Rattus norvegicus: one gene and its partners. The protein of the gene in region 3 interacts with the protein of the main gene of each other region in a pairwise test. Links are inferred from orthologs where the notes say so. Each region holds a gene or a part of one and is shown on either strand. Other genes may lie near its edges.

Evidence for each region.
Region 1: the proteins of Bysl (region 3) and Ltv1 interact in binary tests that used the Homo sapiens proteins (3 or more experiments, as listed by UniProt). The two-hybrid records come from large-scale screens. The link is inferred for Rattus norvegicus from reciprocal best matches to the Homo sapiens genes BYSL and LTV1.
Region 2: the proteins of Bysl (region 3) and Mid1 interact in binary tests that used the Homo sapiens proteins (3 or more experiments, as listed by UniProt). The two-hybrid records come from large-scale screens. The link is inferred for Rattus norvegicus from reciprocal best matches to the Homo sapiens genes BYSL and MID1.

What each region holds. Positions count from the first base shown.
Region 1 is NC_086019.1:9,395,825-9,399,575, forward strand, and holds the start of Ltv1 (protein LTV1 homolog), read right to left. Parts: upstream 2,734-3,751; 5' UTR 2,716-2,733; coding exon 2,713-2,715; intron 1,972-2,712; coding exon 1,840-1,971; intron 660-1,839; coding exon 489-659; intron 1-488. UniProt on the Homo sapiens protein: Essential for ribosome biogenesis.
Region 2 is NC_086039.1:27,681,367-27,684,794, forward strand, and holds the end of Mid1 (E3 ubiquitin-protein ligase Midline-1), read right to left. Parts: intron 876-3,428; coding exon 527-875; 3' UTR 501-526; downstream 1-500. UniProt on the Homo sapiens protein: Has E3 ubiquitin ligase activity towards IGBP1, promoting its monoubiquitination, which results in deprotection of the catalytic subunit of protein phosphatase PP2A, and its subsequent degradation by polyubiquitination.
Region 3 is NC_086027.1:20,878,856-20,882,606, forward strand, and holds the start of Bysl (bystin), read left to right. Parts: upstream 1-1,485; 5' UTR 1,486-1,553; coding exon 1,554-1,818; intron 1,819-3,751. Other genes in the region: Med20 (mediator of RNA polymerase II transcription subunit 20), read right to left, coding at 1,030-1,043. UniProt on the Homo sapiens protein: Required for processing of 20S pre-rRNA precursor and biogenesis of 40S ribosomal subunits. May be required for trophinin-dependent regulation of cell adhesion during implantation of human embryos.

The DNA of each region.
Region 1 (3,751 bases), on a different chromosome or scaffold from region 3:
CAGGCACCAGGGGGACCTCCACGAGCAGCACCAGGCACAAGTGAGTGCGCCTGTTTGTGTTTAAAGGGTGAAGGCAGTAAAACGGCCTGCAGCCCTGCTGAGGGGATTAAATTACTCCATTACCACCTGTGCGTGCTGCTCTCTAAGGCTCCCTTGCAGTGTTCACAAAGGTGTCACAGATCTAAAAACTCCACACCCTCGACTGTTTATGATCACAAAACAGCATCAGGATACAGAATGTCCTCTGTTTTTCTTCTATGGAAAATGCTGCCTGCCATGAGGCCAAGCTCTGAACCTGACAGAAGGCTGTTAATCTTGCTAACAGCTCCTGGAGAAGTGGCCCATACCCAATGGTGCAGATATACACGCGTCTGTAACAGTAGGCAGAGACTACGCTCTTCACACCAACACCATTTACCGCCCCAAAGGTACTGACTTGGAAACGAGGTGTCTCCTCGGTGTTGCACGGTTTTACATTTAAAGCTTACCGGGAACACCGAGGTGTCTTCTTCCCCACGGCTGGAGTAGGTGCTGGGGGTGGAGCTGGGAATAAGCTCTGCGGGGCCGGATGGCTCCCTCAGGTGTTGCAAGTAGTCGTAGTCATCATCGAAGAACACGCCGTACTTCCTCTGCTCTGCTCGCCTTTCCTCATCATTTACCTTGGACAACAAGATGGCATCAGTTGTCCTGCCACGAGTCAGGATCCGTGTAACTTTCAGGAGGTAGACAGCACGTGAATACTGGCCGACAGGAATCACTAATTCTTGATAAATACCCAAACTACGGAGAGTCCAAACCAGAGCGCTACATAAAATTATAATGAAATGACAACAAGCCAGGCTGAGGCAGACCATCAGAACCCACAGTTATAAGACAGGCCTGAAAAATGCAGACGACCTTGTTTCAAAGACCAAGTGAAACAGGAGCACATCCACATGACAAGAACGAGAACAGCTCTCTCAACCAGGCAGTTCTGCATGACAACTCCAGGTGAGAAATATAAGTAGCACACACTCAAAAAATGTCACTGGAGGATTATGAGAAACAATCTGGAGACTTTGACAGTAAGCATAGTTTCTTGTACTTAGACCCAAAGAAAGCTTTTCAGTGGTGTAAGGGGTGGCTTTAAGGAAAAGCTAAGTGCAGGCCAATGCCCCCCCCCCCCCAATCCTTAAAACACGTCTTACATTTTTAAATGAGTGTTTGGACTACATGTGTGGCTAGGACAGACTGGAGTATGAGATCCCCCTCCAGCAGATGTTACAGATGGTTGTGACTGTACAGACGGGTGCTGGGAACTGAACCTGGGTCCTCTGCAAGAGCAGCAAGTGCTTAAAACACTGACCCATCTTTCTAGCGTCCCCCAAGACCTTTATATGAGCCATCTTCAACAAGCGTAACGCTAGCATAAACCAGCTTCTTCAAGGCCCCTTTGGGACGTCCGAAGCTAATTCATGGGCTCAAATGCTTTGTGTTTCGTGAGATGAGTGACTCGGGGCAGGAATACAAATGGAAGACTACTGTAACACAGCAGAACCCCAAGAGAAAGCAAGAGATGGAGCACACCACCACAGACAGCCTAGATGCTCTATCCTGTCAATCAAGACAAATACACAACATCAAACATCAGCGCAAAGATTGGAAACCAAGTCACGGCTCAGTTTTTTTTTTTTTAAGAGGACCAACTTCTGAGAGTATCAACTCATTATTAAACTCTGGGGGCATATAGTTCAGGGGTAAAGTGCTTGCCTGACATGCCTAAGTCCCCTGGGTTCCACTTTTCAGGACTACAAAACTACTATTCACCTAAAAACTTAGTGGCCACAGGACAGGACCTACCTTTTGTGTAGGCACCAGAACTCTCTGCGGTGCGGTTTCATCTGCTGCCAAGGGGTCTCTCTGGCTCCGGTGGACCAGGTGAAAAGACACAGCTTTCTTCTTCTCTATAAAGGGCTTTTTCTTTCTGTGAGGCTACAAAATAATCAGGAAGGGCCGCTAAAGTGGGCAATTCTACTGCCAGAGGAATATTTAGTAAGCATGTGAAGGGTGAACAGATATGTCGAATTTGCACATCTAAGCCAGACAGCAGTCCCTGCCTCCTGAAGGATCCATATTTACCTTCTCCACCAAACACTGGCTAGGTACCCTACCTACTCTGAGACACTTGTTCAAAGGTGTTGGGAATATGGCAGTGGGACAGTCTAAGAGGCTCTCCGTTCTTAACAAGCAAATGAGTAAGGACAAATGACCTTAGTGAAGGAAAGTCAAACAGGGTTAAGTTCAAATGCCTAAAGTCTTTTGTAGTGGGTGCTCTGAGGTCCCCGAAAAGTTGGCCGACACTTCATCTAACAGACAAGCAAGGTTTAGACTATTTACTCCACATTCTTAGGTGTTCTTCAACTCTGGGTCTGGAAACCGAGATGCTAACCAGGTGGCTGAAGTGGACCCCGGAAGCAGGGGGCGGGGCTTGTATCACAGGGACGGAGTTAACCTAAGCCGTCAGGACCGTAAACGCCCGGGATTTTGCAAAAGGGAAACCATCTTTCTCCTTCCGAAGTGCACCCGGGGTGACGAAGATGACTGGTGCCGGGATAGTGACTGGTTTCGGGGCACCAAGCCGCGCGGCCAGTGGCCTAAGCCAGCCGCAGGGAGCGGCGAACAGACATAACCGGAACCCGCCGGCTCCCTCCCGGAGCACCGCGGTTTTCTCACCATGATGAGGCAGGGACTCCCTTTCCGGAACCGCGAAAGCCGAACCGCGACTCGCCGGTATCTCCCGGCAGCTCTACACGTGGGTAGACAGGTCTAGGACAGCACGTCACACGATGGCATGGCAAAGAGCCAATCGCCGAGGAGCCGCTAGACTGCAGCCGGAAGTTGCGTGAGCCCGCGGTGAAGGAACGTTCCCGGGAACTTCCGGGAGGTGGGGCTAGCAGGACTCTCTCTCTCAGTGGGCGGGGCTTTTCTGGCTGGAGTCGGTGCAGGTTGGGAGTAGCCTACCTAACTGGAGTTCTACCTGAAGGCAAATGTCCCGTCCCTACACCGGGCTGATGAATGTAACGTTATCACTGAAGATATTCCACACCTATTCTTAACTGAGAACAAACAAGACAAAAACAAATAAAAACAAGACCAAGCCTGTGCAGGTTCATGGAAGGAAAGTAGTCACTTCCCTGACTTCTTGACCTAAGGGAAATCAGTTGCTTATGTTCAACCAAGGCGGAACTCTAATAGGCAGAGCCTAACATCTCCAGAGTCTTCATTTTACATCTTTTGATCAACAATTCCCAGCAGTATCTTATCACAGACCCTACGACTCTTGGTTTTAGGGGCATTTGACGTAATGTATTCTGAATCTCTGATGACTGCTTATTTTTTAAGATGAAAACCAATAAACTGAAGGTGGTTTTTTTGTTGTTGTTGTTTGTTTTATGTAGCCCAGCCTCTTGTCCAACTTGAACTGCACTTCACTAGTGACGGGCATGTTCTATTTATATGATGCTGAAGATCGAACCCAGCCAGAGCTTCCTGCATGCTGGGTGAACGCCCCACCAAGTGTTCTATGAGCACATCTCCATCCCCCATGTTTTTGCTCACGTATTTTGCGGTACCTTAAGCAAATCAGATTTTAAGTGTAATTGCTTAGGAAGGGTTCCATCAGATCTCGGAGAAAAGAGTGATGAAATAATTCAACATTCTGTCAGTAGATGTTTGCTTTCTCCTCCCCAAGTGGAGAGAAAGTTGCTAGTGT
Region 2 (3,428 bases), on a different chromosome or scaffold from region 3:
GTTAAAATATCTTGACTAAAAGAGTAAAGGAACCTGTACTTCCTTACAAGGATCAAAATTACTTTTATTTTAGCCATATATTCAGTTGTTCTAAGTGACAGTACCTAGCATGGCCTCAGTATGGAGTAGAATGTAAGAAAGTGAAAAAAAACCACACAAATCTACAAAAAATTTTTTACAGGCTCATAGACTGATGAAATGAAACTGGTAAAGGACTGGTAAACTTACGGGCCTCTTATTGGACAAAACCAAGTGATTCCTAACAGCTGTAATCCAGATTATGCTTCTTTTATAAATAATCTATAGATTTTCCTCTAAATACAAAAAAGTAAAGAAATTATTAAAGCCTGTACTTAATACGAAACACAGGAAAAGGAGGGAAATCTTCCATGTGGAGCCCTATCTGAGCTGGTTTCTGGACAAGTTGGGGAATATTTCATCACACTCTTGAAGCCTTAGTTTCTCAATCCCATAAACAACATCCTCAACCTCTGTAATTCCTTGGGGCTGCTCTGGGGCCAGATGCTCAAGGTAGCTGTTCTGTACAGTCCAAATGGTCTGGGATGGGAAGACCAGTTATAATCGTCAAACACTTGTTCCACACAGTAAAGGTGGGGCACACAGGCTGCGCAAGCGCCACATCGAAGGTATAGAGGTGGATGGAGTTCAAAGCATCATAAAAAGCGATTGAGCCATTATCATAGTCCAGCAGGATGCCTACACGCCGGGGGTGGGGGGCTGGTTCAATGGGTATTTCCTTGCTGTTATGTCTCACCACCCAGTTATTGTTGCAGCGGCAAAGGGCCCAGGAAGCAGAATTCTTCCCAATCCATTCATGTTTTGGAGCTGATTTGTACGCAAGGCCAATGGCATACCTGCAGGGACAAAAAAAAAAAAAAGGAAAACAAAAACAAACAAACAAACAAACAAAAAACCCACATTGCATGTAAGTAAAATTTGCTCTGAGGTCTACAGGGTTTTTTGATTTTTTTAAAAATGTGATCATTTGTTACTCATGATCACACTCTCTTTAAGTGAGTATTTAAATCTAAATATATATCTTTGTCCTTCCCAAACACATAGAGGTGGAAGGTGACCAGTGTATTGGCCTACCTTCCTGTTTTATGTTACCAGAGAAATTTGACTTTCCCTCTTACTGCTGTTTATCTTTTGTAAATGTCTGTGCAGTAAAATTTTCTGGACCAGTACTGATTAGCTTAGATCTTTCTATAATAATTGAAGTGTTTTTTTCTTTTTTTTTTTTTCTGTTCAGTACAGTTGTCTGAAGCACATATGGCTATTGGGCCTTGGAACTGTGACTGGGGAGCCTGTGAAATCAACTTTAAATTTACAGACAATCCATAATTTAGAATGCCTTGGCTTAAGATTTTATAAAGAAACCTTATTAAAGCAATGTACTATCTACAAAATCATCCTTTGGGTTTTGATTGTCTCCTGAGCTTGTGATACATGATGCTGTACTTTTTTTTTTTTTTGGTTCTTTTTTTCGGAGCTGGGGACCGAACCCAGGGCCTTGCACTTCCTAGGCAAGTGCTCTACCACTGAGCTAAACCCCCAATCCCGATGCTGTACTTTTATATGACATTAAGCACAATAAGAGGAAACATCTGATACCATACACTACAATGTACTGAAGACAATAAAAGATATAAAATAATCAAGATGTAAGAATTTGTGATAAAGGAGTTATCCTTACTTAAGGCTAATTAATGTAAATAATCTGAGAATATTCATTGCAGGCCAAGTTGAGCTATGACATTCAGGAGGATAAATGTCAGAAATATATTTATTTTTCAATTATGACATTTTCAGTCATCTTTGAGATTGTCAGGGTATAGACATAGTGTAAGTATGAAAGCACCTCTCTATCTATCTATCTATCTATCTATCTATCTATCTATCTATCTGTCATCTCTTTATTTTAAACATAGTTTCACATTGTGGCCCAGACAGGCCTCAAACTCTTGCAACCTTTCTCTTTTCAGCTTTCTGAGTGGTAGGACTTAAGCCCCCATATCTAGTTGTAATGAATTTGAAATTGAAATAAGTTTATTTAAATGGCTTTGTATAGGGAGCATGGCTACCACACTGGACATCATGACTTTGTATAGGCTTATCCTTTCAACAGACTTTAAATTTTGCAGTTGCTATCATATTTTCCATTTGTCCATGGCTTTGAACGTACTTTGGCAAAGGCAAGCAGGGAGAATGATTTCCACATATGAAGTTAAGTCCTTTATCATCATTCAATCTCAGTGTCTTATCTGAACAGTTATAGTCTCTATATCCCCAAGTTAAAGAGTAAAAGAAAATTTCATCTTAAATTCCTATCACAATTGCTGGTATGTAATGCTCAGTAATGATTATTTCATCGTTACTAATTAATTTCACACTAACAGTAAGTACAAAAATCAAAATTGAAACATAGGATGATTCAAAGTGCCACAAGTTTAATTGACACTCCCTCTCACCAGAAATTGTGTAATTCATAACTGTGTTTCTGATTATATTTTCTACTGTACTTTAAAGTTGTAAAAATATCTTTGAGAGGGTTGGAGAAATGGCTTACTTAGAGTACACACTATTTTTCAGAGGTTCTGATTCTGGTCCCCAGCACCTATATTAGGTGGCTCACAACCACATGGAACTCTAGCTCTAGGGGATCCAACATCCTTTTCTGACATTTACAGACAGACAAACAAATGGATGAAGGACTGAAACAGATGAACAGACAGAGACAGACAGATAGGCAGGCAAATGGACAGACATGCCTACAGACAGAAAGATGGATGAACAGACACATGGTGAAGAGACAGATGGATGGAAACATAGGGGGACAAACAATTGAACAGAGCCATACAGGAAGACGGGATGGACAGATGGACCGATGGACAGATGGACAGAGACAGAGAGATAGGTAGAAAGATGGACAAAGACAGAAAGACAGAGACAGACAGATGAAAATAGACAAGACAGTTGGACAGACAGATGGTCAGACGGACAAAGACAGACAGAAAGACAGGACAAATGGACATATAGATGGACTATGAACAGGTGGATGGACTGAGACAGATAGACAGACAGACAGAGATAGACAGACAGAATTATAGATGGACAGACAGAAGAAAAGGCAGATGAACAGAGACAGGACAGGGCAGACAGAAGTACAGATAGATGGACTGATGGGCAGGTGGACAGACAGAGAGATGAACAGAGACAGATAGAAAGTGGGACCAATAAACAGAGACAGATAAGAGACAGATGACAGAGACAGACAGATGGACAGAGGCTGACAGATGGACAGAAGCAGACAGACAGAATGACAGAGCAGGTGGACAGATGGACAGAGACAGACAGACAGACAGGAAAGACATATGGGCAGATAAATGAACTGATGGACAGGTAGA
Region 3 (3,751 bases):
ACATACACAGCCCAGAAAGGTGGCATTGGGGGATCTCAAATGACTCTGCTGTGATCTATTTTCACTGTGGCAGAGATGAGGCTCCTGGTGTCAACTTTGGCAAGCGCAGTTACTAAGGAGCCTACAAGAGCTCTCCTTTCCAGAGCAGACCTGTGGCCCCTGACTTCCTGTACAATGGCCCCCAAGCTTCTTTAATCGGAAAGAAGCGCACCAGTACCAAGATTTTAAGTGCTGAGGTCTAGTACTTTGAAATTAATACCCACAAAAGCACGGTGCCCAAACCTTACCGACTGCCTCTTTTTTTTTTTCAAGTGAGACTTAAGACATGTTTAAGATAAAAGTCGATCAAAACTGTCTCAAGCCCAAGTGCTGGTGGCAAATGCCATCACCAAAGCACTCAAGAGGCAGAGGTGGGCAGATCTCGGTGAGTTTGAGTCCAGCCTGATCTACAGGCCTCCCAAAGCTACTCACAAAGAAAACCCTGCTCAAAAAACTGTCTCAAATACGTTAGGGAGTGGTTCATGAATAGTTAATATGCCTGGTACCCCGATCTCCAAACTCCCAACAGCTCCTTTCCCCTACCTTTGTCACTAGCCCCAATATCTTAAAGTGGCCAGTTCAAAGTCAGGTGCTATAACTGCAAGCAGAATACACAAGTCACTTTCTCCTCGCGCCCCTTTTTATCCCTTCCTCCGAATATCTCCTAGTCTAGAAACCTTATTTCTAACCGCTGGATTCTAGTTGCGACGGGACAAGGCCTCAAGGACAGAAAGAGGTACCGAGAAAAAGAAGGTCCAACAACTCTTGGCGGGTTCTTGGGATGAAGTGCTTGCTTTGCCAAATTGTTATGCCTGGGAAGGGAGAACCCGCACTCGGGTGTCCCCTGATCCACACAACCCCAGGACATCTTGGTCAGCCCTCGAGGAACCGAGAACCTCGGTCAAAATCCCCCTCCCCGGGCCATTACAGGCTCACAGACACCTTCACGACCCCACAGCCCCCCCCCCGCAGAAGCCCTTCAAGTCCTACCACGTCACTCCCATGGCGAAGGGTCAAAAGGTGGTACTGCCAAATACTCAAACTCAGAGAATCCAGACCTTCCCACGAGAGGCAGCCCCCTAAACACAGGAAGCGGTCGTTGACCGGCCTCCGGAAATGCGTAAATACTGAGCGCCAGGACGACACGCCCACAGGGAGAGGCATCTCTGGATACACCAGCGGTGACATTTCTAGTACGTCATCGACCCGGCTCCGCCCCCAAAACATACAAGGGGTTGACAACACGCCCTAGGCTACTTTCATGAATTCTGGAAAAGGTGACTCGAACATCCACCTCTTTCAGTGAGATTATCTGAGAATTTGGAGACTCCTGCTCCAAGCCCCGAAGCTCTTCTAGAGATGGCGATATATGAGGAACTTCCGGCCTCCGAACGCTGGGGGGCACTGTGATGCCTCAGTGACCTCTTGGAGACCGGAATACAAGGCGCAAGCGCAGTCTCGTCTCTTAGCCGGCTTCACACGTGTAAACTTTGTGGGCAAGTTTTTCGACAAAAATGCCCAAATTAAAGGTGACACGTGGGGCCAGAAATCAAGAGAGACATGCACCTCTGGCGGAGCAGATTCTGGCTGGGGACGCAGTGCGTGCGGGGACCCGAGAAAAACGGCGGAGACACGGGGTCGAAGAGGAGGAAGAGTATGTGGGACCCCGGTTGAGCAGACGGATTTTGCAACAAGCCCGGCAGCAGCAGGAGGAGCTCGAGACTGAACACGCGACTGGAGATCGGCCGGCAAAACCGCGAGAGCGCGCCACGCGGCTGGGTGAGTGACAAGGGGTGGAGTGGTGAGTTGGGCCGGTCTGATACTCTCCATCGGAATACTGGGTTAGAATTAAAAAGAGTAGGCGGCTTAACTTTCCCGCGTGGTCCTTCACTTCCACTCCTGGGTTTCGGGATCCAGACTTAAGCCAACAGAATGTGATCTCTCACACCAGTTCTAGCATTTATTTATTCTCTGTGCGTTTGAAGTATCTGTGGGCTGCCTGCATAGTGCTTTGAGCTGTGTTAAGTTTTTAGGCAGTTCTGATCCAGAAATAAGATCTTCATCACTCCTGATGGCACCGGAAGTGTAGCTCAAGGCACACATTAAATAGATAATTAGAGTAATATATTCCAGGCAGGAGTGGCGATGCTCACCTGTAATGCCAGCACTCCAGAAGCAAGGCAGAAGGCCTCCTTGAGTACATAGTAAATTCCAGATTAACCTCGACTACATTACATGATAGAACCCTATCTCTCAAGAGAGGGGGAAAGATATTTCTGTTTAAACAAAAACAGATGGACATTAATTCTGTATGGTGGGTATCCCAGGTTTCACGTCCTTCTAGTAAGATCTGAAAAGCAAGTGGGAAGTGTTCCAGTGATGAGGGAGGGGAACGAGTATTGTTCAGAAGCTAAAAGTGGGGTGGGATGGGTGGGTAGATGCTTGGTAATCTGTCTCACTGGGGAGGAACTGTCGTTGACCTCCAGTTGCTTAATCTTCCATTCCCATCTGTCCTAAAAGCAGTGTTTGAATGTGGCTTTAGGGCTACAGCAGCTTTTCTGAAGTAAGGGCTCAAGGAGCCCAGGCTGGCCTCAAACTCTGTAGGGGAGGATGACCTTAAACTCCTGATCTTGCCTCTGTTTTCCATGTGGCATTATAGGTGGTTGGCACCACGCCTGCCCTTAAAAACATTTTGTAACTGAGACTGGGTCTCCTTCAGTTGTTCAAGCTGGACTTGAACTTGCCGTGACCAAGGCAGGCCTTGAGCTTATAGATCCTTCCGTGATGCTGTCAGCAAATTTCACTCTGAAGCCATCTGTTTGATGGCTGCTTCCAGATTTTTCTCCCACGTACGTAGTTCGTCCAAGAGGCTCACATCTTTATTTCCAGTGGTCTTCCTGACAGCTCCAAGTTGAAGACTGGTAGCTGTCGATAGTTGAATGTGTCCACACAGAAGTTCTGACTTCCTTCCCAAACCTGCTCTCTGTTGGCTACACAGAGTTTGTTAGCATGTTAGCCTTCCACTGCTCAAGGCACAATCCAGTGTTCTCTTTCTCACTTCACAGTAAATCCTGATGGTTGTGTCTTTAGAATATATCCAGAGCCAGACCACTTTCCATTAACTTGGAACGCCTCCTGTTTTAGCTACCACAGTCTCCCCTGAATCACTGGGAGAGCATCATAATTTGTATTCTGTAACCTCTGTGGTCCATTCAACAGCTAGAGATCAACAGAATCCTATCTAATCTGCCTCTGTTTCAGGTCTAATCACAAAGTAAGGAGGGGATAAGATAATTCAGCTGGTAAGGAACATGACTTGAGACTCTTGACTTCCACCTACAACAGCTTGTAGTCCCACAGTGTTGAAGACAGATCTCTTGGACCCACTGGGCAACCAGTGTAGCCTAATCAGCTAACCCCAGGTCCCAGCCAGACCCTGGTTCAAAAACAAGGTCATCAGCTCCCGAGAAATAATAGTCAAGATTCCCCTCTGGCCTCTATGATGCAAGGGTTCACTCATATATAAAAAACTAACAACAGCAACAACAAAACACCCCACAAGTGTCAGCATCTGTCTCCTAACCTCTTTTATTCCCCTACTTATCTCATAGCACTTGTCTTCTTTTATTTAACATGTATTTTGTGTGCGTGTCATGATGTGTGTAGAGAACAGAGGAAAACTCTTGAGAATTGGTCCTCAGCTTTTCAGAAC